2 linked regions of the Ovis aries genome follow. Each later gene encodes a partner of the first gene's protein in a complex. Links are inferred from orthologs where the notes say so. Each region holds a gene or a part of one and is shown on either strand. Other genes may lie near its edges. The genes, in order: ASF1B and histone H3.

What was found.
Region 2: the proteins of ASF1B (region 1) and histone H3 are in contact, whole or in part, in a crystal structure (PDB 5BO0), measured with the Homo sapiens proteins. The link is inferred for Ovis aries from reciprocal best matches to the Homo sapiens genes ASF1B and H3C15. Residues at the interface, in NP_060624.1 of Homo sapiens: Val45, Ala48, Ser50, Glu51, Asp54, Thr87, Asp88, Val90, Val92, Thr93, Val94, Leu96, Arg108, Gly110, Tyr111, Tyr112, Asn114, Glu116, Leu140, Asn143, Arg145, Thr147, Phe149; in NP_001005464.1 of Homo sapiens: Asp107, Leu110, Cys111, His114, Ala115, Lys116, Lys123, Gln126, Leu127, Ala128, Arg130, Ile131, Arg132, Gly133, Glu134, Arg135.

What each region holds. Positions count from the first base shown.
Region 1 is NC_056058.1:9,899,836-9,904,244, forward strand, and holds the start of ASF1B (histone chaperone ASF1B), read left to right. Parts: upstream 1-1,489; 5' UTR 1,490-1,609; coding exon 1,610-1,718; intron 1,719-4,409. UniProt on the Homo sapiens protein: Histone chaperone that facilitates histone deposition and histone exchange and removal during nucleosome assembly and disassembly. Cooperates with chromatin assembly factor 1 (CAF-1) to promote replication-dependent chromatin assembly.
Region 2 is NC_056054.1:99,937,091-99,939,587, reverse strand, and holds histone H3, read left to right. Parts: upstream 1-1,282; 5' UTR 1,283-1,299; coding exon 1,300-1,710; 3' UTR 1,711-1,760; downstream 1,761-2,497. UniProt on the Homo sapiens protein: Core component of nucleosome. Nucleosomes wrap and compact DNA into chromatin, limiting DNA accessibility to the cellular machineries which require DNA as a template.

The sequences.
Region 1 (4,409 bases):
GACAAGCACCTCAGTGTGGCTAGTGCCACTGTGAAACAGAACATTCCACGTCGCTTAACTTTCATTAATTAATATTTCAATTTATCACCGACATGAGATTGAGTTCATGGGAAATTTTAACGTATGTTGGGAAACACTTGGGCATGTGAATCTCCATTTCAACTGTAAATTTTATGAAACCTCAACTATTTCCGGTGAAAACCTAGCGTCCGGATCACAGCTGTGGTGTAACGTGTAAAATACACAGGTTTTCAAACCGTTAGTACTAGGTAACAAAATAAAGATACCTCAGGTTCGTGTTTGTTTTTTTTTAATACCGATCACATGTTGAAATGATATTCTGGCTATACTACATTAAGTTTAATATATTTATATATATATATGTAACGTGGCTACTATAGAAAAGTTTAAGATTAGGTTTGTTGACGCCCGTGGAAGCGGACTAAAGGAATGCGGCGGCCCCTCGAGTCTTCCAGACAGGGGGCGACGGTGGTCCCGCCTACGCCTGGGAGTGGAAAGAAGTTTCTAGATGTATTATGTAGTCATAAGTCAGGCCAGTAAAATTTCATCACCCCGTTCAATGAGCAGGGAAATGAGGCCTCGGGTGGTGCGTGGCAGAGGCCGGATTCGAAATCCCATTCAGCGCCGTCCACCTGAAACCTCCCCAGGGGCTCTCAAGTAAGAACCTGATTCGAACCAGGCCCGACTACCGGGTCCCGGGCCCCAGAGCGCCGCGTTAGCGCGGCACCGTCTGCGCTCAAGGGTGAGTTAAACGTTCACAACGTTCACAACGGACGCCCAGCCTGCCGGGTCTGCGGGGCCAGGAGCCCCTTAGAGAAACTTCCGGCAACGCTCACCTGCTGACAGATGCCGATGCCGCAAACGCTGCTCCTTTCTCTTCACACTCTGCTCAACCGCGTCAGCGGCCGACTTCCGCTCCACTTCCACGAATCCCCGGCCGCGTCTTCTCTTCTCCCGCCCCCGCAGCCAACTCAGCCAATCACCTCTCAGGAAACCTGCTTTATCTCCGCCCCATTTCTGCCTGCCAATCACTGCAAGTCCAGCACGTCCCTTCCTTCCCGCTTAAGCGAGCGCTGTGCGCCACCACTCGGCGGTTGACTGCGCTGCCCCCAGCTGGAAGAGTCTCCCGGAAAGGCGGGGCTAATCGCGGACCACGCTGGTGCGGGGACCCTAGGGATTGGCCAAGAAGAGCCAGGCGCTCTGACCCCGCCCACCCCTCCCTGGACGTCCGAGTCGGAGACTCTGGGGATTGGTTCCCCGCGGACACCAAAGAAGCCTAGAGACGGTCCCGCCTCCCTCGCTCATCCCTGAGATGGAGCTCCACGGATTGGTCTCGGGAGTCTCGGCGCGCGCCGACCGGCGCTCCAGGATTGGCTGAGGAAGCACTCGCGCAGTCGTGGAGCGTTGACGGTGATTGGCCGTAGGGTGAGAGCCGGCTATTTGAAGGAGGCGCGCGGACTAGATACGCACTTCAGATCGCGGTCAGAGGAGGCGGGAGCGGGTTTGGGCAGAGCTTCGCCGCTGACCCGACAGGACCCAGGCGCGGGCTCGGCCCCAGCTCTGGCCTCAGCCGTGACCCGACGAGGCGATGGCTAAAGTGTCAGTATTGAACGTGGCGGTGCTGGAGAATCCGAGCCCTTTCCACAGCCCTTTCCGGTTCGAGATCAGCTTTGAGTGCAATGAGGCCCTGGCAGACGGTGAGATTGGGCCCTTGTGGAGACCCCACTCCCCTGAGCTAACCCCGACCTCCCTTTGCAGACAACCCCGAGGCCAACCCTGCCAAACACACTTCCTCTCCCCCTCCCCCTCCCCCAACCGCGATCTCCCTTGAACCAAAGCCCGCCCACCAGCCCCAACCCCGCCCCTTGGAGACTACCCACCGCACCCCACCCCCATGGTTACTCCTCTTTTCCCCTCATGGAGACCACTTCATCCTCCTCTTTCTCCTGGGCGTTCCTCCTGAGCATCTGTTTTCTGTGTAGAGACCTCAGCCTCAGTTCTTTAACCTGCAGAGACCCTCAGCCTTCCCATCTTCCTTGTAGCAAGAAACCCCCCATCTTCTGTTTCTGTATGGACAGACTACCATTCCAGCCACCCAATCCTCCCCCACCAATCCCCTCTCCCCTGTGGTGAGACACTTCCACCTCACTCTTTTCCTGTGGAGATGTAAGCTCTAGCCCCCTCCCGTGTCCCATATGAAAACCGCAGCCTCCTCCCTCATTTTCCCTGTGAAGATCCTCGCCCTCTGGCAAGACCTCACACATCCTTATCTCCCCATTTGTCTCCCCATAATATCCCCTACCTGCTGATACTTAACCCCACCCTACCCCCCTTCAGCTTGTTTCCTACCTCAAAACACATACCCTAGAAACTGGCTTCCCTCCTTAGTCTGGCCCCAACCCTCTACTTCCTCAAGAGAGGCATGACCTGGCTTCCTGCTCCAGTGTTTGAGGATGATCTGGTCTCCCCAGCTCCTCTTCCTTCCTCTTCCCTGACTGTGGGCTTCAATGAACACACTCAGATCTGAGGAGTGGCATGGCCAGGCACACGTTAGCTGGTTCCTGCTGTTGGCCTGCTGGATTCCTGCTGACCCACTGCAGCAAAGCTTGCAACACTTTTGATGGCCTGACCTCGACTTGCGCGGTGTGGGGTGGGTGTGCCAGGCCGAGCCATGGTGATGTTTGGCTTCAATCTGGGAGGTCACAGCCTTTTGTGCACCTTTTCCAAGGTGCTTTCACAGATGTGCTTATTCATCCCTGTGACAAAAGGCGGACATGGCTCTCATCTCACAGATGAGAAGGCGGGAGACAGAGTAAAAGACCTTTCAAGTAAAGGCCTATAAAAACCAGAAAGGCTAAGGTTGTTCAGCGAGTCTTGGCACCACTTTCAGGAGGAAGTACTTCCATTAGATGTCTTCTCTACTTGGTGGTTAGAAGAGAAGAGGCAGCCTCTAAGGAGGTAGAGATCTGGAAGGCAAGGGTGTGCTAAACTAGTCGTTCTCAGTGGTTGGTGGGTGGTTTGCCTACAAATGGGCTTCTCCAACTAACATGGGGTTGAAGAGTTTTGATGTGTGCTTGGGTGGGGCCATTGGATCACTCCCTGCTTTCTCTCGTTTTTAAATCAAGGAGTCATTCTACTTATGACTAACTATAGAATATGCCCAGTTAAATCCTTTCTGGAACAAGGCGGGGTGTAAATAAATAAATAAAGTGTAGAATGACCCTGTGGAATAAGATTTAATTTTAAAGCCAGGAGATGTAAGGAGCTAATAGTTCAAGGGATTCATAGTTCCCAGATGGCAGGAGATCGGGTTTCAATCAGCCTGTTTGAGCTCCTGGCATTTAAAAATGGTTGCATGGTCATTATCTAGTACTTTCATTCCTGCAAAGCTACTGCCCTGTTACTTTATTAATCTGTTTATAGAATCAGGAGAGTCTAAAGTCAACCTGCTGGTCATTGTTTTTTATTTGTGTTATATTTTGTTTAAGATTTATTTATTTTTGGCTGAGCTAGATCTTCGGTGCTTTGCTCAGGCTTTCTCTAGTTGGGGTGAGCAGTGACTACTCTTCGTTGTGGTGCATTGGACTTCTTGCTGCGGTGGCTTCTCTTGTTGAGGGGCACAGGCTCTAGGTGAGCAGGCTTCAGTAATTGGAGCGCTCGGGAGTAGTTGCTCCACAGCATGTAAGGTCTTCCCGGACCAGGGATCAAACCCATGTCCCCTGCTTTGGCAGGTGGATTCTTAACCACTGGACCACCAGGGAAATCCCTAAAGACAGTTCTTTCTTTCCCCAAGGTCATTATTTTTCTAATGGAAACAAAATGATTTTTCCAAGGTCACACAGCTGGTGTGTAGAATTATTCACAACTAGGTCTTGTTTCTGAGTTCTGAGTCCAGGGTTCTTTATCTTTGCTATAAACTGGAAAAGAATGCACCCACTATTTTAGAAGTGAGACATAAACAGGACAGAAGAGGGCAACAGGGTCTTATTATTAATTATACCTGAACAATAAAGCTTTTGCTCAGAAGAATTCCAGTTGGAAAGCCAACTCTGGCCTGGAAGTCTACACTCTCTGGTTGTACCTGTAGGGCTGTGCTTCACTCTGACCTGTCAACATGCTTTCTGCCTCTTCCCACAGAGCAGAAAGGATTTGTCTCCTGCCTCCCAAACAAATGGAGTAGGCCTGGCTTTAGAAGTCTCTTAGATTCTGGAGAAATTCTCAGTCAGCCTTATTACCTGGTAACTGAAGATCTGAACACCCAGCCCCAACTCTGAGCCATTTCTCAAGGGCTCTGAAATGTTTTAACTCTCTCTCCCTCTCCCCGCTCAGCAGCATGTGGAAATAGATGCGTCCAAGGCCTGGGTCTGTATTCAATACATTGGGTGTGT
Region 2 (2,497 bases), on another chromosome or scaffold:
ACAAGACGTTATTACAAAATAACCACAGGATATGGTAACAGTTGTTCATATCACCAACACTTTCTCACTGATGTTTTAGATCTTCTCCCTATGGCAGGCGATTGCTGCTGCCTAAGGAGACGTCTAATATGAATCAGCATTCTGTTATTAAAGGTGACTTCTAAGGCAACCATATATCACAGATACTGTCTACCTTGTGTTTAACGTTCAGGAAAAACTCTCAAAATCACTTTTAACTTCAGGAAAGTGATCATCATACCTTGGAGCTATGTTTTGAGCCTCTTGGGCCTAATTTTATTCTCAGGTTTGAGTTTTTATATGGGATGTTGTTCCAATCAAATAAGCATATTTTAAATATATTTGTTAGTTATTAAAATTTTAAGCATTGGTAACCTTACATAACTTTTGTTTTATTATATGTAATTTTCTGAGAAATTCTTCAAAGCACAGGAAACAAAAGGCAAAAGATCTTAAATTTCTGTATAAAGAATATAAAAGATTTGAAACTGTAAGCATTAGGAAACACTTTATTGAAAATATGCTAGCAACTCAGTAATCAACGAATAATTTATGTGCTTTGATCCTTGAACGTTAAATGACTAATAAGCAACTTGACTATTTAAAACTATTCACTATTGTAAGGGAGAAATTAATATTTCCGGTGTTATTTTCCCTTACTTAAAGCGTTTTGTCCATAGGACCTAATTATGCATTGATGGATTGAGGAGAAAACCGCACTCGGGGGATGGGGGGAGGCAGACGGCTCTGAGTTGGTAAGCATCAGCACACAATTTTGGTGTAGTTCCGAACCGGGTAAAGGTTAAGTTTAATTTCCGGTTCCTTCAACTACATATTGTTTTGTTGAACCTCAGTCGTAATGTAGCTCTCGCTTAGCTCAATATCAGGAGCTAAATAAATGTTAGTTATGGGAGAGGAGTTACAATAACTAGTAAGTGGAAATGCAGGCTGAAACCTAGGGCGTGCTTGTATTCTTAAAGAACTTGCTAAAATATAAATCCCAAGCGTGCAAAAATACTTCATAGATTGTTCTTACGAAAGTTAACAGCAATATAAAGAAAAGGGCTTAAAAAAAATGTGATAAGATTATAGAAAAGGACTGGAAAATGGAGGTTGTAAGTAAAGAAACTAGCATTACAATCTTCTGCCCAAATAGGATTGAATTCTAACCAATGAGATTACAATTTCGGAAATTGCTAGCTTTTCTGGTCCAATCAAGACTAGGCTACGTCTATAAATGAGACTGCCTAGGGGGTCGGTGAATAAAACCTGTGAGATACTATGGCGCGTACGAAGCAGACTGCCCGCAAGTCGACCGGTGGCAAGGCGCCGCGGAAGCAGCTGGCCACCAAGGCGGCTCGCAAGAGCGCGCCGGCCACGGGCGGCGTCAAGAAGCCGCATCGCTACCGGCCGGGCACCGTGGCCCTGCGGGAGATCCGGCGCTACCAGAAGTCGACCGAGCTGCTGATCCGCAAGCTGCCGTTCCAGCGGCTGGTGCGCGAGATCGCGCAGGACTTTAAGACCGATTTGCGCTTCCAGAGCTCGGCCGTGATGGCGCTGCAGGAGGCGAGCGAGGCCTACCTGGTGGGGCTGTTTGAAGACACGAACCTGTGCGCCATCCACGCCAAGCGCGTGACCATCATGCCCAAAGACATCCAGCTGGCTCGCCGCATCCGCGGGGAGCGGGCTTAAGGCGTACTTTTAAAAACAGACGATCTAAAGGCTCTTTTCAGAGCCACCCACGTTTTCTTAAAAAGCAGCTGTACCAGCTTTCACTTTAGTCGGTGAACTCTTAATGCACGAGTGTTACGGGCAAAGCGGGTAGGAGAGTTTAACACGCGTAGAGTGGTGAGGTTATGGAATTAAAGCTGACAGACACTAGAGGGAGCCCCAGAAGCAAGGTCTGGGTCGTTTTTAACTGCGCTTACAAGCTGGTTTTCTTTCTTAATGCAGAGCTCCAACCTAGCCTTATTTTTTTTTGGAGAACCTAACCATTGCTGAGAAAACTTTGCAAGAAGCTAAATTCTCTGCTATTCGTTTTTAGCGCTTTCCAAGCTGCTAGTACAAAACGTTAGCACAAATCTGAATACTGAAGAAGGCCGTCATTATGTGATAACTGTAATCGGTTTCAGCTCAATTCTACAGTTACTAGAATTAGGCCAGATGTTAGATAAAATCCTCGGTCCCCAAGTAGTTTCTCGGTACTTCAACTGTTAAGAATGGGGACAAGAATCCCGAGATACGTAGGATCCCATCTTCCTAACTGCGTGAGACAGAAGGCGCAAACTGTAAAAAAAAAAAAAAGGCGGGGGAGGGGATAGGCGGCTAAGGTATCGTTCCGAAAACCAGAACCAAACTTACCCAAAATAGTACAGAGGAGTAAAACAATGCAAAAATAAGAGAAAGTTAGCTTGTCTTTAGCACGCGCTTCAGATATCTACTATATACAAGTCAATGAGAAAAAGTGAAAATCATTTAA